Styela clava: one gene and its partners. Each later gene encodes a partner of the first gene's protein in a complex. Links are inferred from orthologs where the notes say so. Each region holds a gene or a part of one and is shown on either strand. Other genes may lie near its edges.

The links.
Region 2: actin-related protein 2/3 complex subunit 2-like (region 1) and actin-related protein 2 share a complex: the UniProt entries of both Drosophila melanogaster proteins name them as parts of the arp2/3 complex. The link is inferred for Styela clava from reciprocal best matches to the Drosophila melanogaster genes Arpc2 and Arp2.
Region 3: actin-related protein 2/3 complex subunit 2-like (region 1) and actin-related protein 3 share a complex: the UniProt entries of both Drosophila melanogaster proteins name them as parts of the arp2/3 complex. The link is inferred for Styela clava from reciprocal best matches to the Drosophila melanogaster genes Arpc2 and Arp3.

Annotation. Positions count from the first base shown.
Region 1 is NC_135259.1:12,805,745-12,813,601, forward strand, and holds the start of actin-related protein 2/3 complex subunit 2-like, read left to right. Parts: upstream 1-4,789; 5' UTR 4,790-4,825; coding exon 4,826-4,899; intron 4,900-4,975; coding exon 4,976-5,123; intron 5,124-5,304; coding exon 5,305-5,418; intron 5,419-5,514; coding exon 5,515-5,630; intron 5,631-5,781; coding exon 5,782-5,875; intron 5,876-6,403; coding exon 6,404-6,530; intron 6,531-6,897; coding exon 6,898-7,099; intron 7,100-7,410; coding exon of another isoform or gene 7,411-7,426; exon of another isoform or gene 7,427-7,461; intron 7,462-7,857. UniProt on the Drosophila melanogaster protein: Functions as actin-binding component of the Arp2/3 complex which is involved in regulation of actin polymerization and together with an activating nucleation-promoting factor (NPF) mediates the formation of branched actin networks.
Region 2 is NC_135251.1:20,269,898-20,277,583, reverse strand, and holds the start of actin-related protein 2, read left to right. Parts: upstream 1-4,665; 5' UTR 4,666-4,777; coding exon 4,778-4,825; intron 4,826-7,686. UniProt on the Drosophila melanogaster protein: Functions as ATP-binding component of the Arp2/3 complex which is involved in regulation of actin polymerization and together with an activating nucleation-promoting factor (NPF) mediates the formation of branched actin networks.
Region 3 is NC_135259.1:19,511,136-19,518,504, forward strand, and holds the start of actin-related protein 3, read left to right. Parts: upstream 1-4,307; 5' UTR 4,308-4,373; coding exon 4,374-5,618; 3' UTR 5,619-7,369. UniProt on the Drosophila melanogaster protein: Functions as ATP-binding component of the Arp2/3 complex which is involved in regulation of actin polymerization and together with an activating nucleation-promoting factor (NPF) mediates the formation of branched actin networks.

The DNA of each region.
Region 1 (7,857 bases):
AAGAAGCAAGCCCAAATAGACACTAAATGGGTATATATATCTGCGTTGACTTATAAACTTAGATAGTATGACGTCACTATTTTCGTCAGTTACTCGAGCATCAAGTTTGCGAGGGCGGATCGAATTACAGATGTGTCGTCTGAATATCAAAAAATAAACGTGTTATCTGATGAGACGTGACCTAAGTTTTTCGAAGGATACTCACCATTTTAAGTTAAATGGTTTCGGGTAGCTTGTGCTACCCTCGGGGTGTGAGATGTAAGTCGGTGTACTTTGTCATTGAATACTTTGTCATCACCTCTAACGATACGCCAGAATACTAGGACCGAGTGGGTTCCCAATTAGCATCGATACAAGTTATTGTGAATGCCAAATTTTATTTTCAATTGTCTGATCGGAATTAACCCGTTAACTGTCTAATATAGGCTACTCTGTATGATTCCGACTGATTGAATGTTAAACTCAAATATCTAATTTTGTTCTGTTTTCACTTGGTATATTAGGATAGGATAAGTAGTTCACTATGTTGCGCTTTGCCATTACTGATAAAAAGAATTGTTTATTGCTCTTGATATTTTATTTGATACGATGGAAAGCAAATCGAAAAAAAAAAAATTTAATAGGGCTTTCCGTCCCGTATACATATTATCTGTAAGTTAGGGCCGTTGTATTAGTCCAAAGTCTGAGAGTTTGCTAACCAGCCAATTCACGAGGAATGTCTCTATTGTATTTATTTTATTCGGTCACAGTGTGGATCTAATTTGAAATAAAACAACCACTGTCATTTATACAAAAAGGGGTTTTTAATTTTTTAAGACCCGAAATATATTTGGTTAGCGCGCCTTATAGGTTGGTGGGCACTAATATTGAACCTAAGACCTGCTATGCGAAAATGTGTCACGAGAAGACTTCCGCTTACTTCTGTAGATCATTTTCTGATGAAATATTCTCATGTATATATATAAGGAAATTTGATAGGAAATGTTTTCTATATACTGTATATGTATTAATAAAGTATATTGATGTAAGAACGTGCACGTGCGATTGAAGGTGAACAAGAATAAATATATATTGTCCTCGACAGACGTCTCAACAAACAATATATATGATTCCTGAATTTAAAAAATATTGTAGCAATAAGAGGATGCATTTTCCTCATTAAAAAAATGAAAATTAAATGTGCTTGCATTTTGGATCGAATAAAACTATACACTGGTTTATTTGACAGATGACTGTTAGTTTAGTTTACAGCGATCTAGAATGCAAATTAATTACAATAATATAACAATGAGCTCATTAAAAAGTGCGTTATCAGCAAATCTTTTGTGATCACGATGTTGTCCCCACAAGCCAAATTAATCATTGTGCCCAACATGGCTCAGTCATCATAGACACGCCACTGTTTGGGTATCTCTCAAGTCCATGCACCGGAAAAAATAACTGGCTTACTACTCCGATCACCATATGATTAATCCGTCTTATCGGCTTTCTTTTCCCCTTGAATAAATATGTAAATCCTCCGCCGCTGGGGTAACATTCTCCGCGATTTCTTTGCCTTTATATCGCACGTGTTTGTTTCTATTCAATATTATAATTCATATTATTTCATCATTATTCATTGTGTGGTTTGTTGTTTTATATTGTAAACTTTTGAATTAAATACGCCCTCTTTTTCAAATATAGCACCCAATTTCAACTGTTTTGAAGCTAAACCAGTACCGAAATACTTCGCTGTCTGTTGGTTACGATGTTTCATTCGCGCTACGTAATCCCTAGGAAGATGAACAATTCCCTGAAACTTTTCCCCAATAAGATGGATGAGTCTTTCGTGACCCCTCATCAACTGCTGTAAGTCAATGTTCACCGTTTCTATTTTTCATGTGGATTATTGCTTTATATTGATTCTTACATTGTGAAAATGAATATCTGTATCTATAATTCATATATATACATGAAACTGAGCCTCCGTTTTTCCAAAAAAACGTATTATCGGGACATGACATTCATAATATATACACAAAATCAAGTTCCGGGGGAGACGCAAGACTTGCGAAGGCATGAACGAAATAACTTCTATTCATTTTGCATTCATTTACTACTGGGGGCTTTTGTGATAAACAATTGCTAATATGCAGCTGAATAAAACGATATATTCTCATACACGGGATCAGTAGTAATAGTTTGAATCCATTAGCATAAACTCACTCTGCATCTAGGATTCTATGTCCAATAAGTATGAAGTTCAATTCCGATCCTCTAAGCAGGGGTGGCCAACACGTCGATCGCGATCGACCGTCGGTCGTTTCATCCTGAGTGGTCGATCGCGCCTGATCTTGAAACGTAACAAAAGACGTAAAAAATTTGTTTTAGACCAATATTCAAGCGGCGCCTATTTTGTGTTCCGAAGAGGCGAATACTGTGCGTGTGCGAAAGACGTTATGTCTGGCGCATATTGGACAAAGCTCGTTTTTACGTAACAGTTTACAAGTTTCGTCACTGATAAATATAAGAAACAAATGGGCCGACTTAGACCAATGAATGTTTCACTTCGGTATTATGTGGAAAATTTTGTTAATTCTGGTGTATAAAAAGTAATATTGGTCACCGTAGCTGGACATTAGAATGACCATATTCAATGTTAATTTATATCAATTCTGAGCGTACCAGACAATTCCGGCGATTCTGCGTGAGCGGTAATACCTCCACTTTATTTTTTTAGGTGATGTCCCCAATTAAAATCGCATAACTTTCCTTAATATCTCCATGAGGCAGATAACGTCAAAATTTGACGCATACGTCAACGCAAACTACGATGAACCCTTTCGGTAATTATATTCACCGCACTCCTAGAGAATCGTCTCTCATTGGGCAGTGAAAAGGTCTATGTCATAATCAGAAATAAAGTAACCCAATGAGCGATTTGACGCCTAAGTTGAGAAACATATAATAGCTTTGCAAAGTCCAACTAAACGATTAGGATTGTTAGGCCTAGAACCTAAAATTTAGTGTAAACTAAGTTCAGTTCAAAGTGGGAGGATTATTAGAAGGATGGCACTCGATAGAAACATCTTTGGTTAGGGTACCAAAAGTACAAATAGTACAACAGAAGTCTTACCATATATCACTTTCTACTTTATGCCCTTGTTGTTGTTGTTGTTGTTGTTGTTGTGAGAAATAAATAGATTTTCTAAGCATTTAGTCCTGGCGCTACTCTTATATGAGAGCAGCGTGTACACGCTTCGTATGACATCCGTTACAATTATTTTGCCAGTGTGCTATCATTTTGGTATTTATAGTTACAGTGTTCCAACCAACGACCGGTTCCAACCCAATATCTAAGAACAATTCCAAAGTATTATCCTCTATAAAGTCGAATTATGTTTTGGATTTGATAACGTGGTTCCACTTGAGTGGTTCCTTGGGAGAGGCTTCACCTTCCGTCTCCTTGCTTAGTTGTTGCAGTGTCTATTCGGCTGGTTGGACATCGCGAGTGATTGTTTGCGTATAATTGAAAGTGTAGCCTTAAAATTGCCGATATTTACCGCACTGAATTATCAGTTTATAAAAAATAGTTTTGTGACAGATCCGCCAAAGTTTACATTGCTTTATACAGTAATATTCTGGAGTACCGGTATCACAAATTTTTCACTTTGATTTTTAATACCCTGATAGCGGTACCAAACAAAAATAGAAGTCCCGATTTAAAAGTGTATTGTGTTTCTAGTACATATATTTCGGTGGAGTTGTGTAACATAGGAAAATAATGTTTGGCATTGAACATTTTCTGAGTTTGATATATCTATATACTGATATACCTGTATACAGATAACGGTAGCAGTTTTTCTGAAAATATTGCACTTATTTCGGTATTACTTCTGATATCTACGTCGTAATACTGTAATAGATGAGACTTACATTTTTTTCTATAATCCAACTGAAACTTGAATTGTATCTTATCCTAGGGCTAAACCAAGAACAGAAGAATAGGGCTGTAGCAGTAACAAAGTGATGAGCTGAAAAATTGGGGTCTCATGTAGTTTCTTACCTAACATACTTCTAGTGGGTGTAACATGACAATTTTTCTACATATCAATCCTAACCCCCACCTGACCACACCATCCAAAAATTACGTCACTACGACGTCACAGTGACGTAATAGAGCCCTTCAAACTATGTGAACTGTCATCCAAGACGCGCAGACGAGAACCCGAAATCGAACAGCCATTTCTCTCGTTTTCTCGTCGCAACGATCCCGATAGGAGAGAGGTCGTTGACGTCAGTCAGTTCTTTATCGTCGGCGCCGATGCTATTTCGGGCGATCGTACAAGTATTTGGCAAGCTCTATGACGTGATTTTGACGTCGTAGTGACGTAATTTTTGGATGGCGTAGTCAGGTGAGGGTTAGGATTGGCATGTCAAAAAATTGTTATGCTACGCCTACTAGAAGTACGTTAGGTACGAAACTACACGAGACCCAAAAATTGTAACGAACAAACCTAATTCATTGAAATGTGAAAATAAAAATGTTTTTTTGGTACAATGGCATAAAGTTCTTCATGACATACCAATGAAAATTTAACCAACTAAGGAATCATAGTAACTTCAGAATTCAAAATCGAGAAAACATTTCACATTGCATTATGTATAAAATTTGCTTGTTAATAAAATTTAGAATGAAACTTTGTTAAGCTATGCTTCCTCAGCTACCACGCTCCTATGCCATTAGGATATCAGTATTGTGTGTTGATGGTTTTTGTTATGTATTAACAATAACTTTGTCATTTGGTTTAGTAATTTAGTAGAATTTGCTCAACATTTCTCCAAGATGATTTTGCTTGAAACACAGAATCGAATAATATCGGATACTTTGACATATAAATTTGAATGTGCAGTAGCAGGGTAAGCTTATTTTTTAAGTTAAATTATTTGTTATTTTTGAAGTTTCAGTGTTACATTTTTATTATTATTTTTAAAGGTCTAAACCAGAATCAATTGATTCAACAATTGCCGATTTTGATGGAGTGTTATATCATATCTCGAATCCAAATGGCGATAAATCAAAAGTCATGGTCAGCATTTCTTTGAAATTTTACAAGGATTTGGAAAACCATGGAGCAAAAGAGGTACATTACTTTGCAGTGAAAGAAATAAACCTTTTTGAGAGTGTGGTGAATAGTTTGGGACCTTTGTGAACAAGACTTGTTATATTTTATGAATTGAATTATGTTCGTTTCACATTTGGTTGTTTATATAATATTGATTACTAAGTTATTAAATACAGTAAATAAAATTATTCTATTTCAGCTTCTAGACAGAGTCTACGGATGTTATCTGACTTCACCTGAGTCTGGACACAGTGTCTCACTGCTCTATGATCTTTCGAACATTCCTAAGGATCACGCCAAAATTGTTGCAGATGTACGTTATTTCAATTCAAATTTTTTTTTCAATTTTCAGATGTAGAATTTACATTGGTACCAGAACAATTGACATTCCCAGTACTTGTTTTTCTAGGCTGCAAGTTTGAAAAGGAATTGTTTTGCATCTGTGTTTGAAGAATATTTTGAAGCACAGGTACAAGGGAAACAAGTGAAAAGAGCTGTCGTCAACTACAGAGATGATGAGACGATGTACGTTTTGAGAAATAATACTCGAATTATACTTTAAGTCTAATTTTTGAAAATACGCCAAACTAGATATTATGGGATATAGTATTTATGTTAGAAGACTCATAATACAGTATAAATACGATTTATTTATGTTTGCTTGTATTTTATTCAGGTATGTGGAAGCTAAGAAAGATCGTGTTACAGTGATATTCAGCACTGTTTTTAAAGATGATTCTGATATCATCTTTGGAAAAGTATTTATGCAGGTAATTAAATTAACATATGAACCTAAGTATAGGTAGGCCATATTATGTAGAATTATATCTTTGGCCATTAGAAAATAATAAAAGCCCCATCATTTGCTGCTTGTTAGGAGCCGTCTTCACAGAGAGAAATTGTGACAAAAACACCACATAGCATATTAGCTATTTACGAGTTTATCCACACTTTTTAAGTAAATATTGAAGCAGGAAGATATTTGAGCGCTCCAGAAGTATGTGTACCAATATGTAGGTAACTAATTTTATTCGCCTACATCAAGTTGTATAAAGGGACTGAAAACTATGGGCAGGGGGTATATTCGTTAAACAGACAGTCCCTGAAATCGTAATAGAACTAAAATAAGGAAAATCAGAATAAAACTATGGCCTGACCCTAACCTGGTACACACACTATGGGAGTGCCGATGTTTGACCAAGTATATTTGGATACATGTTCCTGAATTGTACTAGGAATCAGTCAGGGATTTGTATTACTTAAACATGATATGCAGGCTGTATGAAATATTGTAATAGGAATTCAAGGAAGGCCGCCGAGCAAGTGCCAGTGCACCCCAGGTTCTTTTCACTCATAAAGAACCTCCACTGGAATTGAAGGGACAGGATGCTGCAGTTGGTGATAACATTGGATACATTACTTTTGGTAAGATTTTGTTTCCTTCTGCTAAAATCTACTAATTCCAATTGTAGTTAAGTTCCAATAATTAAAACTAAATCAGATATTGTATTATGTAACCCACTACACAGGAAATTTATTTGATCATTACAATTATAACATAAAGCCATTTACCCCTCAACATGGCTGATCAGCTTCTATATCAATGCCCAAATTTTTCTAGGACTAGGACACTGCTAAGCATTCTTTTCATCCTTATTTTTAAAGTTTAAAGAGGCTGTCTGAGTGTCAACTGTCATTATGGATACATAAGTCTACAATCGCAATTCTTTTTCTACATTTGCTGAAATCAAATATTGTGTAGCTGCTATGTATGTTTTATTTGTATTTCTAGTTCTGAATACTCGACACACCAACCCTGCTAATCGTGACAATACAATTGATCTCATCCACACATTCCGAAACTACTTGCATTATCACATCAAGTGCAGCAAGGCTTACATTCACACAAGAATGCGAGCAAAGACTTCGGATTTCCTTAAAGTTCTCAACCGTGCCAGGCCTGACCAAGCAGTAAAAGAGAAGAAAACAATGTCGTAAGTTAAGAGTGTATCTAGAAATGGGGTGATTCTATTACCGGTTTATTTTATTTTGTTGATTTTGCTTACATCAAGATTTAATCAGTATTAATATACCATAATCGCATTTTAATTTTTTTTTTTAGTAACAAAATTTATGCAGTTTTGTGATTAATGAAAAATTTTTTTATATTATTTTGAGATTTTTATTTGCTTCTTTGTTTTTATTGTTGAATTGTTTTTAGTAGCAAATTTAATCATAAATGCTGATTGCAGGCTTTTTTTTTTTAATTGTGATTTTATCCCTAATTTTTGTTTTGCATGAACAGAGGAAGAAGTTTTTAATGTCAACGAAATGCACTATTTTCATTGTTTGAAAGGTTTGTATTTGCACTTTTTTTCTGGAATTATTTTGCTGCTTAAAAAATCCTAATGATTACATAACCAAGAAATTTTTAAGTTGATTTTGTTTTCCACATGTTGGAGTTGTAAACATTATGCTTCTGGGATAATCGGACTGTGAAGTCAAAGTTCAAAAAGTGACTCAGAATTCGATTTCCGGCTCGGGACTACCGTATAAAATTTTACCTACAATAACTTTGCTGTTTGCTACCTTTTTTATTTCATTCCGAAATCTTGACTGAGGACTCTTAGCATTCAGAAATCTATAGTTGGATAGTGTCTGTGGGCAGTGAAATACATTTAGATTTCTGGTTTCAAAACCAGGAAAAAGCACATAAAACTATCGAATGAATAGGGTGGCCATTTCCTGGGAA
Region 2 (7,686 bases), on another chromosome or scaffold:
TTGCAGGAAGAAATTTTCCTGTATGAGCCACGTAGTTCTTGGGAATCGAATATGGAGCCAAGAAAAAAAGGCTAGAATCACTGGTCGAGTTACATATTATATTAACCCATTCGTATATTTCCAAGACCTTTGTAAAGGTAATTGCTTCTGGTGTTGTATTCAATCGGCATTTAAAGTTTGATTGTTGAACTCACTTTTGAAATCACCCCCGTGTATTTTGGAACGCAGCAGTGGACTTGGCTCATTTTGTTCTTTGGATTCACGATAATATAAGCTATTTAAGTTTAAGTGATATGTAGGGCTGGGCATTTTTGAATATCTTGTGATTTCAGAATCAATCGAATAATTTTTTCAAATCGAATCGAATCATGAATACTTGGAAATATATGATTTTAAGCGACATTTTTTTTTTATAGTAATTGGTCCTCTCAACAAATGAATCACTGAAGACATAGAATACATCACGCAGATAGATTACTGAGCGTTCACACCCAATAACAAACACGTTTTATCAATAACTCACTGCAGAGAATAGTCATATGTTAGAATTGCGTTGAAAAAATAATTATGACTTCAATGAACAAAAAATGAGGAATTCACCTAGACCAGGGTGGTCCAGGATTGGCAGCTCCCCGGGCCACAAAATTACTTTTGCATTGTTCGCGGGCCACAATAGTGCCAAAAACTTTGCTCGTTTAACTTCGCTAGTTGCCCCAGCAAGCCATAACACTAGTCAATTTAGTGACATTAATGATGCAACAATATGTCAAAAGATTTTTTTAGTTAATTTTATGACGAAACAACACAAAATGCAATTTTTTGATTCGTCTCCTAATGCGATGTGGGCCACAGATAATGAAGTGGCGGGCCACATGTGAACCGCGGGCCTGGGTTTGGACCCCCCTGACCTAGACCATTGGCGGAAAGAAAAAAACAAGATGGTAGCGATTCGAAATTTAGCTTTGAACCGATTTGAATAATTTAATATTCGATTCGATTCGAATATTCGATTCGAAATGCCCAGCCCTAGTGATATGTTTAAAAAAGCTTGGGATAACATATGACAAGCAGTGAAAAACACAAGAAAATTTATATAAAAAAAAATAAACAATTCGAATTTACGCAAACGATCATTTGTTGGAACGTGAAAACATGATGGTAGATGAATTGACAAGGGCTTTGTGGAACTCCCATCCCCATCATTATCCACTCTTTTTTTTAGCGTAAAAGTAAAACGTAACATTTCGATATTGATTGTATCAGTTGTATATATATATACATTTTATTGTGGAGTGGAATGGAGTTTATTTTGAAATTATTAAGTAACTCTAACAGTAGGCTTTTTCAGAGAGAAGTACATTTTACATTTTGTCGAACGTGATTTTGTTGCATATTTTCAAGTCATGGCTGCAATATGTTTTCTCAGAAGTCTTCGGAAAATTCAACTTTTAAAAGCCGCTCGGGTTTCCGATTATCGAACTTAAAAACTTGTGAGCGAACACGTACTACTTCTTTTATCAATACCTTTTCATTTAAAATCTGTACGTTTCAAACCTTACTCTAGGTTTTGCTCGCTTTCCCGATTCTATAATCAGTTACTTTTACTTCTGTTTTTATCTATTTTTTTATCGTCTATTGCTGATTATGGAGCCGAAATAAACTTATACTTATACTATAACTATCTTGTGCAGTTTTGGTACACAGCGAGTCCAATTTAGCTGGATAATTTCCATGAAATCTGTTTCGTTTTTGGAGTTACAAGTCATCATTGAGCTGGGTTGCGCCTACAAACAGGGGTTTGTTCAATAAATTTGCCATCGCAGTATATTATGGCCGGTAGTTGGCGACATTTATTTATAAAATTTGTGACTTATAGAACAAAACTCATCGAATAGATTGTATTTATATCTAGAGCGCAGCCAGTCCAAATTTTTATTAGGGGGTCAACGAATTGATTCATTGTCTTGTTATAGGGCATTATATTCCCTCCATGGGCGTATGTACCGAGGAGATTGCACCCATGGACGGATACCTCGAGTGAATATAAGCAGCTTGTACTGATTTTTGCATTGAACCAGATTCTGATATATCACGATAAATGGTTCCATTACATTTGAACCCGTAATTTGAACCCACGACAATTGCACCTGCATACTATTGCACCTATGAATTTTTTTTATTTTACGGATATTTGAACTCATCCTAACTCATGGATTTTAGCACCCTCATTTGAAACCGCGGATATTCGGGTGTAAATGTATGGGTTCAAGTGTACGGTCACCCGATAAATATAAGGAGTTATTTTTATTTAGAATCGATATTGCCTATCCAATTAATTGCACCCTGGATGAGGTGGAGGCATGGGATTTCAGCCCGGAATGTGTTATCTTTGATGCTTACACAGTTAAAGGCAAGATATATATATTATACGTGGAATAGCTTGGAACACTAGGTTAGAGAGTTTCTATCACAGATACATGATCTGCGATATCACTCCCGAAAAAATGGAACGACACAAAAAGCTTAGTAGTGAGGGTAATTTAACAGCTGTGAACCCCCATATTTCGTTAGTAAAAATCCACTTCAAATTTATATTGAAAACATGAAGAAAATAATCAAGACATCAAGCTGAGTACATTTGGGGCCACCACCCATACAAATTTATTCGTGGCTAGTAATTATCTTTTTTTTTTTATCGTTGGTCCTTTCATGATGACGATGAACAGCGCCCAAATCCAAAGTAATCGATGATTGCAACCGTGTCTTGAATCAACATGATAAAGATGAAAATATACTTTATTGCAGTGGTTTCCTAACTGGGTGTAATTAAACCCATTCAATGGTGCTCAGAAGTATGTCGCACAACCTGAATTCTGACCGGTACACACATACTATGTTTAGGTTGTGCGCCATCTTGGTGCGCGTCCCATTTGAGAATACTTAGAGGATAATTTAGACGTTTACTGCCTTTACAATTTCTTTTGGAATCTTTGTCCCAGCTTTTTCGAAGCACATCCTGACATCCATCTTAAAACTGAATTGGAAAATGGAATAGGGGATAGTATCATGGTAAAAAATCGAATTTCTGACTTCATGACTATAATTAAATTGTAACATCGCTAGGATTCAAGTCTCAAAATCGACCTTGCAAGGAAAGACATTGGAAAGTTTCTTGGTTTGTGTTGATATTCAACGTGACAAATTGCGCGATATTAATTTTATTACATGCAGGGGATTTGCTGGAACCGCTGCATAATGTAAGTACTAGCAATTCGAAGTCCATTTTTCAAAATTTTGTCTGTTAGAAACGATCGGGAGGGGATTTCATGACACCCATTTTAGAAAAAAGAATGTTAGCACGAATATGTTAAGCCAAAGAGCGCCATTTTTAAAAGCCATGAATTTTTTCAAATCTGAAAAGGTATTTTGGTTGATAAATTGTCAAGATTCATTCATTGTCATCAGTGTTCGACGTACAAAATCTACTTTGAGATATCATAAAGAAAAACAGCATCAAATACGCACTTGTTGGATGACATTGAATATACGATTTTGCAATCAAATCGTGAACAATATATTTTGACTGAAAACTTATTCTGAATTTATCATTGTCAAATTTTCATAATCAGCGATCTTGGTACTTCAATTACTTTTCACATTTATTGGGTCTTTACCAATACAGAGTTAGTGATATTCTCTTGAATCAAACGCCACAGGAGAGAAATTTACGACAACGTAATCATTTTTAAAGAAATTGTACTTTATGAAGATGATTTGTACCTGAGATGTCAGTTACCGATTAAAATAAATCGTAACCGTTAACTATCTAAAATCGGTTAACCATTCCCAGCCCTAGCTCAGACAGACACAGATTTTCAGGCGTGCCTTCTCGCGGTTTTGCGTGTTATTGGACACGTTTTCAGTTTTGTTTCCAAAAAATTACTAGTGAATGAAGTATTTTAATTGTCTTCATGTCTTCCGATGAGCTTTAGTTTAAAATCAATGATCAAAAATTAGTTATGGAAAAGCTGCGATAAACTAGGCTAAAATGAGCTAAAATCAGTACCAGTAATCGGCACGTGGTTTCATATTTCAATAAAAATAATGATTTTGAGCATGTAAATCAGTTTGTCAGTTGCTAATCTCCAAAACACTCGCAAAATTTAGCAATAGTAAAGTACGGTAAAGTATAAGGAGCATTTTTCTGGGTCTAGGTCGGGGAAACATCTATTATATATTTTCATTCTATTTACATGAATTTTAATTTACTATCACGGAAGAATTTATCAAACTCAAATTGCGCCATATGTGATAAACTGCCATAATAACAATAGCTGCTATGCCTGTCGCAATTGGAAAACTTCTAATATATAGTCCATATTTCAGATGTATATTTTATGGACAAATATATCACTGAACTTTAATACGCGTTTAGAGTCCGGCCTTTTTCTCGCATATGGGCTTCTATTTGTTTCAAGTATATAACGGTTAAGTATTAACGGTATATACGGGCTCGGCTTTAAGTTTATGATAAACACAACCACAAAGATATATAAATATGTATAATCGTAAATATATACTACTACATTCCCAGTTCAGTGACTACAATTGATTGCTACAACGTCATCATGCGGCGTAGTTACGGTTGAGTTGATTTTACCGGCGGAAGTTCTTGTGACATCTAGTGGATTTACATCTAGCTGTAGGGTGTTAACGTTTGTGTTTCTTTGCTGAGTGAGGAAGTTTGCGAGGAAATTATCGGATTTATTGAAGGAACATGGATTCCGCAGGCCGAAAGGTCGTTGTTTGCGACAACGGAACTGGGGTGAGTTTCATTATTAATAGTTAACATTCCGTGACTTATAGCAATACTAGCTGACTAGCCTATGCCAAGTATGTTTGTTTGCTTGATCACTTTACTGCAGGCCTCAGTTTTGACTGTCTGATGCTGTGATGACCCTCGGATCACCCACTGCCTGACTCATTCAAACATCCATTCATTACCGTATATAGCCTATTACTTATTACCAATTTTTTAACATTCCCCTTCTGTAGGCTACTGTAATAAAACACATGTTATAGCCTACCTCTATAGTATTACAGTACGGCACATTCTATAAATCGATAACATTGTCTCATTTTGGAGAATCCCATTTTGTCGATGAAGAAACACCCCTCCTTTAGGAGACGTCTGGATATTGTTGTCCCTCAATATCGGCAAAAATACAGTAAAATGAAGTTGCGCAAAAAACTACAAAGAAGCGCAATCTAAAGACGTCATAATTGAATTGCTCAGGGGGAAAAAATGATTCGATTCACCAAAAGAAAATATTTGGTTTTCATGTAGTTTCGTACCTAACATACTTCAAGTGGGCGTAGCCTAACAAATTTTCCATGTGTCGATCCTAACCTCCACGTGACTACGCCGTCCAAAAATTACGTCATTACGACATCACAGTGACATAATAGAGCTTGAAACTATTCAAACTGTCATCCAAGACGCGCAGACAAGCACCTGAAATCAAACAGCTATTTCTCTTGTTTTTTTGTCGCAACAATCCCTATATAAGAAAGAGATCGCTGACGTTAGTCATTCATTTATCGTCAGCGCCGATGCAATTTCGTGCTATTGTACGTGTATTTGGCAAGCTCTATGATGTGATTGTGATGTCGTAATAACATAATTTTTGGAGGGCATAGTCAGGTGGGGGTTAGGGTTGACATGTCAAAAAATGTTATGCTACGCCTACTAGAAGTATGTAAGTAGAAGTACGAAACTACACGAGACCCAAAAATTTTCTATCGTGGCATTATAGAATTTTAAGCGAAAATCAACAATTTTGGTCACATGATGGCCACGATTAATTTAGATTATTATCAGGACAAGCATTGCGCTATATGACGCATCCGCCGTCGTGCAAGATGCCCCTAGTTTATGAGACACATGGTGTGTTTGTTAGAGCTCGACCGATATCACTTTTTGGCACCGATACCGATAACGATATATCGGCCAACTAGTGACCGATAACCGATATTGACATACCGATATCTAGAACTCGAACCCGCAGTAAATACAAATAGAAAGAAACATTCAGTTTCAGTCAATCAAAAGTTTATGTTGAAAAATAAAGCAGTCCTACACAGTGCTTGCATCATTAATAAAAGTTTCGCAGCAAATAATAAGAACACACATTAATGCACAAGAGAAAAAAGGCAGTCAGTAAAAAGCTTATAGAAGTCCATTTTGATCCATACAGTAGTAGGTGGGAGTAGGCTTGCACGTAATTTACGGAATTGTTTGGAGTTACGGAAGGGAAGTTACAATTACGTAAAGTCGTAATTATTGGTCGAGCGCTTTCGCGTTTGAAACGTGCTCCTTCCAAGCAGCCAATTCCGTCGATTGTAAAAAATCAAAGTTTAACAAGTAGAAGAAGTTAGAGTTCCGGTATTCGCAGCCGTTTTGAGCCGGCATGACGCGTTGCCACCCCGTTTGAGCGTTTGGTTTCACGGTCAAAACGATATTATTATAAGCGTTGTCACCGTAACGCAATTAGCACCGACAGACTTTTTTGTCTTCACGATTTGGTATCTTTTTTATTCGGCACTGATAATGATAAATAAGAATGTGTGATAGTTGATTGTAATTCCGGAAGGCGTATTTTTCTTTCTCTCCGTGAAACAGACATGAAACGAATTTTACCGCCGCTATAAGCGCTTAAAAGGAGAGGAGGCTAGGCTACTTTCTTTTCCCGACTCAATCACTTTTATAAATACAAATCACAGCGCATTAAAAAACAAAATAGAATTTATTAGCATTAATAAACAACAAGTTACGGGTAAGAATTTATCGCCGGCTAAATAATTATTATTTGATTTAAATTTATCGCAAATGATGTTATAACATTTAGGCCGCGAAATGATTTGATATAAAATGAAGCTTGGTAATCGGAATATCGTCAATAATTCAGCATCAATAATTATTATAAAATGCTAACTAGGTAGCAAAGTCGGATAATGTATAAAAACGGAGCAATAACAAGTCTTCGTCGCGAGGCAAGCGCAGGTATAATCAAATGAGAAAATACGCTTGTCGTTGATTAATAACTTAGAAACCCGAAATTTTTATTCAATACGAAAGTCGATTTTAAAAAAGGCAACTATCGTTTCATAAATATCCGTATACCATTATCGGTAATGATAAAATTGATCGCATAAAATTGGGACGGTTAATTTGCGAACGTGATAAAGGAAAATCAAAGCCAACACAATTAAACAAGATAAAGATCAGAATAAATTTAATTTGAATTCACTCCTTGGTATTTGTCTTTAACATCTGTCGCCGGCGTGTAGTACTGTCGGTAATTTGAAAACCAAACTTCGATGTCCCATTCGGAAAAGAAGTGGATTCGAATGGTTTTTATGATAGGTTTAAACGTGTGAAAAAAATATCGCAATTACGGGGTCATTACGTAATCAATTTTTCCGTAATTGATTTTTGTCGATTACGTGCAAGCCTAGTGGGGACGCAAGATATTCGAAGGCGAGGATTTTGCGCCGCACGAAGAGAGAAATATAGAAGAGAACTCTCTGTTCATTGAAAGGCAAAATGAGAGAAGCGTAAAAAAGGAAAACGCTCGGCCGCAGATATTTCCCGGGGAAAAATACTCATTTTTTAGAACGTGGAAA
Region 3 (7,369 bases), about 6.7 Mb from region 1:
AGCAGTATAGGCTAGTAATCCTGTAGTCGCAATCACTTCATCAAATAAAATTCTCATCAGGCAGTCAGGTTGGGTCTGGTATAGTTTAGTACCACATCCACTTCTAGTCGGCCTGGCTCAACAATTTTTTCATATGTCAATCCTAACCCCCACCTGACTACGTCACCGAAAAATTACGTCATTCCGACGTCACAGTGGCGTAATAAGGCTCACCGAAGTATGCGGATGGTCGTACAAAACGCGCAGACGATAAACCGAAATTGAGCAGGCTATTTCTTTCGTTTTCTCGTCGTAACGATCACGATAGGAGAGAGATCGCCGGCTTTAGCAAGTTCTAATCGGCGGCGCAGATGCCATTTCGGGCGATCGTAATTGTACTTTGGCAATCCCTATGACGTGATGGTTACGTCGTAGTGACGTAATTTTTGGATGGCGTAGTCAGATGGGGGTTAGGAATAACATATGCAAAAGTCGTTATGCTACGCCCACTGGAAGTACTTGTGGTACTAAACTATACTATACCCGTCAGGTTTTATGCTGAAAGGTAAGGACAGTAAGTAGGATGAAGATATTTCGGGTCTAGTATTTTGGGAGATAGTATACTTTTATAAGCATTATTACGCCACTGTGGCGACGAAATGACATAATTTTTCAGTGACGTAGTCAGGTGGGGGTTAGGATTGACATATGCAAAAATTGTTGAGCCAGGCCAACTTAAAGTGCATGTGGTACTAAACTATACCCGATATTTCAATAATTGCTGAATCTGTATACTGGTATAGTAGCAAAGTAGAGGTAATTTTGGGTCTTGCTTGCTTTAGATGATTTCACTATATTGTGAACATTTTCTCCGCCGTTTATTATTCAATTGAAGCTAAACTTGGAATATAATACATTGAAGCCTTTGTCGTCACGGTAAACTCTGTTTCATATCTATCAATGCCTTTTTTCATTGAAATAATTGACTTTATTCATCTGCTGATTTTCATTCCAAAATTTTCTAATGTTAGATGGCCACCTTTCGCTTTGCGTCACTTCGTCGTGAGAGAGAAATGTCTGCGTGATCAGTGATGCGTGATAACGTCGCTGCGTAGAACTTACGATGCCGTGACCCGTCTTGCGTGTCGCACACTGACGTTCATCTATGTTGTTGTCATTCCTGACGTTTCGCAAAACTAAACCATTTACTACTGACTATTCATTATTTCATTAAAGTGATAATTTGCTATTATTATCGTTTTGATACAAAGCAAAAATGAGACAATATGGAACAAATGAAAATGAAAAAACGGACGAATAAAATAAGTAGTAAAAGTAAAAAATGGAAGTGGAAATGGAAAACAATTTTTAATACAAAACAAAATTGAAATGAATGAAAATAATAAAAAAACGGATGATGAATTACAGTAAGTAGTAAAAGTAGAAAAATGAAAGTGGAAATGGAAAACAATATGGAACAGTAAAGCTTGTGGCAATTACATGCTTAAAATTTTCCACACGGGTTGGATCTGTCTTTGCAGCAATTAATGTGAAACCAATGTGTTTTTTTGCATGTTTCACAACCAACCCATTGGTCCTCAATTTCTGGTGTACCATTTGGATCATTCCAGTTACCACAGGCTGAGCAAACATCCTCTCGTGTGTCGTTTGTATTATTTGCAGGCTTCCGAATATATTTTCGCTGATCAATCTGGCACAGGTTTCTTCCTGGAGCAATTTTTTATCCTCGCCTACGTTTGCTTGGACTTCCGCTCGTTTCATGTATAGTTTTCAAATAGTCTATGAGGCAAGATGTCGTTTGATCAATTTCTTGACTCTCGATGGATGTAGATTCTTGGGCTGGCAGTTTGGCCAACACAACGGAGGGGGGTTAAATGTATGAATTCCACAAACCCGAAAGCATGATTTTAAATTTTTCACCGCTGTCTCTTCTGATTTCACGAAAAGTTGATTCAATAAAAGCGGGAAATGATCTTTTGGAAATCCACGAATCCGTGTTTCTGTCCTCCAATCAGCTATTCTTGTTCTCCATTTGGTTTTCAAGGGAGCGAAAAATGAACAATCGAGGGGCTGAAGAAGGTGCGTACTATTTGGAGGTAAGCACGTGAAATATACATTGTTTTTGTCGGCCAACTCGATGACATCTATTGTTAAGTGCGAGGATAAGTTGTCCCATACAAGCAATTTGTCACCGTCAAGTTCATTGCAGAATGGGATGAACACTTCTTTAAACTAGCGGATGAAAGTTCTTGTGTCGAACCATCCGCTCGGCGTTGCATCATAAACTGTCCCTTTGGGGCCATCTCTGGTCCAGTATTCATACACATTCATTGCTGAATATACCACCATAGGAGGTAAGAGCTTTCCAGCAGCAGATTCACAGAACATTATTGATATAGAACTCTTTGAAAAGTCGCGGATCATCTCCACCCTATTAATGCCGGTTGGTACAAAAGATCTTTTTCTGCCAGGATCATCACGAAGGTTGGTTTCATCGTAGTTAAATATATTAGTCGCGGGTAAACGCTTCGCTATTTCTTCAAGTTCGTTGAAATAATTTGCTACTTCTTAGGAGCCCACGGCGGCACGTGCTCTATCAATATTTGAAGCAACTCGTTTAGATAACCGTTGTCGCTTGCAAAAACTGGTTATCCACTTCCGACCAGGTTTGTTATTTGGGAATCTGGTAGAGCAAACTCCCTTTGTGTCCAGATATCTTTTGACGTTGTTGCTAATGTCCTCCGGCCCCATGAGAAAGCCTCAGCGCGCAACACTTTCGAGGCTCTTTGCAAATCGCTTTTCCCTCTTCATTTGTCAATCCAGTCGGACGACCGATACTTTTAGCGTGAACCTTCCTCATTTTATCGATTAACGTTGATCTTTTTACGTCATGACGTTTAGCAGCTTGGAAATATGACATTCCTGCTTTGACATCATCCATAGCTTTTTGCAAGTTCTCGTTTTTGCAGGAGTTGTACATTCGCTTTGGCATCGTGTTGATAATTCAGAAATACTGTATTCACAGGCAGATAGACAAAGCCAAATGACAAGAAACGGATAAAAACGGCAAAAAGAAACTTTGATACCTTTTTTTTTAATTTTGCGACCTTTTTTTTATTATTTGTATGTGGTCCAACCTCCTGCTGTGTACACCTGTGCAGAGTTCACCTCTGGAACATTCTACACTCAAGATATCTGGAACATTCTGCGCGTAAAATATCATCATCGGCCGATTGTAAACAGACATACTTTATAATTGTGATAGTATATTTATGCATAACTGGCTGTTCATCAGCCTTATTAAGTATCAACAACATCTGTATACGGTCGGAGAATGTATGCAAAAATATAAATGCACAAATTTGATGTGCATTAAACGGACTCACTATGAATAAATGAAGTTTTTGTAGGATTTGTTGACTAGGATCAGGTAGGAGCTTTTATTTTATATTTCACTACACACTACTACACGTCACATAGTCTGGCGTTCAAATGTTGCAGCGAGTTACGCACGAGCTACGCAATGTGACGTCGGCCATCAATGGAGTGAAATGGAATCTCGTTGTCTGCGTAAGCATCGTAACGTCGATATTTTGATGAAATTTTTAAATCAAAATATCCCTATCGTTCTATGATTCCAAGAATAGAAGAATATCAATTATAGCAGCCAGTGCAAACCCCTCTTACAAGACATTTTGTGTTTTGGCATGAATTGACAAACATCGGCATGAATTGACAAACCAACTTTGCGCAATAATTAAATTATGGAGCAGATCTATTTATTCTTGTTAAAATTAGTTGAAATATACAATTACAAATGACTTGGACCTTTTGAAAGATATGACTGTATGAAAATTAAATGCACTTATTTCATATAAACGAAATGATTTCACAATCACTTTATTTCTCATCAGTAATCTGTATGTCCAGATCTTTTTTCTGTAGATCTTTCCTTCTGTAACATGAATTATCCTCTTTGTTTTTTACAAAACGTGCTTACAATTACTCTAAGTTGAGCAAGTTATTTTTCTCATCGTAACGGGTCTGATATGAGAGAGATTGCTGACGTTAGTAAGTTCATTATCGTCGGCGGCTCGGCGCAGATGTTATTTCGAGCCATCGTAGAAATACTTTAGCAAGCTATATGGTATGATTGTGATGTCATAGTGACGTAATTTTTGCATGACATAATCAGATGGGAGTTAGTAATAACATATGTAAAAATGGTTATGACAAGCCCATTAGAAGTACTTGTGATGCTTGATAACTACACCAGACCCCTTTCCTTAAGCAATCAAAATTGTTATTTTGTTTTTACTTACTATAGGCAGTTTGCTTCAATATTTTTGATTGTGATAGAAATATTTTTGACTATGGCAAGCAAATTACCAGCATGTGTGGTGGACGTCGGTACAGGTTACACAAAGCTCGGCTTTGCTGGAAACACAGAGCCCCAATTTATCATGCCTTCATCTATCGCTGTGAAGGAAACCGCGAAAGTCGGCAATAAAGTTCATAAAGGGGTCGATGATCTTGATTTCTATATTGGGGATGAAGCCCAAGATAAACCCAATTATGCCACCAAGTGGCCAGTTCGTCATGGAATCGTAGAAGATTGGGATTTAATGGAGCGTTTCACGGAGCAAATTATCTTTAAGTATTTACGTGCAGAGCCTGAGGATCATTATTTCCTCATGACAGAACCTCCTCTGAACACCCCAGAAAATCGCGAATACTTGGCCGAAATCATGTTCGAATCCTTCAATGTTCCAGGCTTATACATCGCCGTACAAGCCGTGCTTGCTTTGGCAGCGTCTTGGACGTCGAGAGCTGTTGGGGAGCGTGTTCTTACTGGTACAGTCATTGACAGTGGAGATGGAGTGACCCATGTAATCCCTGTAGCTGAAGGCTACGTTATTGGCAGCTGCATCAAACATATCCCCATCGCAGGTCGAGACATCACTTACTTCATCCAGCAATTACTCCGGGAACGTGAAACTGGCATCCCTCCAGAGCAGTCGATGGAAACAGCAAAAGCAATCAAGGAGAGATATTCATACATCTGTCCTGATATTGCAAAAGAGTTTGCGAAATATGACTCTGACCCAGCCAAGTGGGTGAAGCAATATGAATCAAAAAATGCAGTTACGAAGCAGTCATTTAAAGTTGATGTCGGTCATGAGCGCTTCTTGGGACCAGAAATCTTTTTCCACCCTGAATTCTCAAACCCCGATTTTACAACTCCAATTTCTACTGTAGTGGATGATGTCATTCAGAATTGTCCTATTGATGTCAGAAGGCCGCTTTACAAAAATGTCGTGCTGTCTGGAGGATCAACCATGTTCAAAGATTTTGGCCGTCGTTTGCAACGAGATTTAAAGCGCACCGTCGACGCAAGGCTGAAAATGTCTGAAGAATTAAGCGGAGGTAGAATCAAACCAAAGCCAATGGAAGTACAAGTGGTCACACATAGCATGCAAAGATATGCTGTATGGTTTGGCGGATCTATGCTCGCATCAACGCCTGAATTTTATCAAGTGTGCCACACCAAAGCAGATTACGATGAGCACGGCCCAAGTATATGTCGCCATAATCCCGTATTTGGCACTATGTCATAACTCAAAGAACTTTTGAAGTATAAAGTTATTGTTTCAGTTGAAGCAAAGTTGAGAATGCTTGATTACATGATTGTAATACCTACTGTATTTGGACTTAATTCTATTCAAAAATAGGAAGAAAATTGATTCAAACCATGTACTTTGCTTATACTTATATCTTTTGTAATCTTATTCACAAATTGTTTCAAACTGAAATGATAAACTTGAACTTTTGAGTCGAGATATTCAAATAATCATGTTATATACTCAGAATGATTCCTAAGACTTGAATAATATATCGAACAGTTTGTAGGCCCGGTGCAGTTTTGTTAATCTTGGGCCAAATAATTTTCGGTCGTCTTACTTTGAGCCGAGCTATATATAATGGAATAATATCTAGAAATGTCTTCAGATTGAAATTCTCACTTATACAAGAAATTCCAGACATTTAGGCAATATAATCTATGTTAAATCGCAAACCTATTCGAAGTTATGCGCACATATTACTGATATGATATTCTAGACTTGATAACTAGAAATTGGATAATTCTCCTTTTTCAGTTGAACTATATACATTTAAACAATTTAATATCTGTTAAATCTCAAAGGATTTGAAGTTACGCTCACATATTATGATATACTAATTCTAAACTTGATAACCAGAAATTGGATATTAGTGCTTTTTCAGTTGAAATATTGTCTTTTAAATAAAGTTATTTGGATTTCCATTGTTGCTTCATGACATACTTGATTCGAATCTTTGTTCATGGATAGCTTATTAATTTAGAAAATGAATATCGTAATAATTTGTGTATTTTTTACATTATTTTATGTTCTATAGCTTTTTAGGTATTTCTCAATTTATCAAAGATCTGTTTTTGATTTGTATCAGTTATTTGGTGTACCAAATTAAATAATATAAAAGCTAAAACAGGATTTTCCACATTGGCGCCTCGAAAACTGGTCCCCCACCCAGTTTGGGAACTCTGGCTTACAATCTTGGATCAAATCTCTGTCCAAAATTGTATTAAATTGCTTTTGATTTGTATCCAATATAGTCAACTTTATCATTTGCTGTTCAAGCTACTTTTGTCATATTCAATCTAGGCAAGTTTAGTAAAATACGAAGCTGCTTTTAATGTTCAATTCTGATGAATATCCAGCATTTTGAGTGGCCAACTGCCAGTAATTTATTTCAATCTGTTATTTGTGTATTCTCATCATTATTTCACATACGATTAACATAGGGTTTACAGCACTTTGTGTACTTTTATCGGTGATTCTTATATTATCCAAGAATAATGTGTTCCGTTTTTAATTTTCTTGTAATTACCCTGTATTTTCTGCTGTAGATGTTTATTAATAACTGTTACAATTCCAATGAGATAACCATTTCACCCCTAGTGTGCCTTTCCCACCTTGAAGCAAGCATGCATCTTACAGATGACTGAAAAAAAATTGAACCCATTTTGAACAAATTCCAGAGAGAACATAACTTTTGTGCAAATAGTTCTAGATTACCGAAATTTTTGGGTACAATCATACGAAAACAGAAGTTTCAAATTTTTATCCATTTTCCTAGAAGTATTCGAGAAACTCGTAGGTTCTATTTTTCTTGGGTCACCCTGTCTATGGACTGCATTTGGCAGATATATATATATATAATGATAGCTCAATTCATTTTTGTTTTGCTTTCACATAAGACAACATAATTTGGCATTTGGAAATGTTATGATAACATTCACAATGATTATCATGATAACAGATTTGCT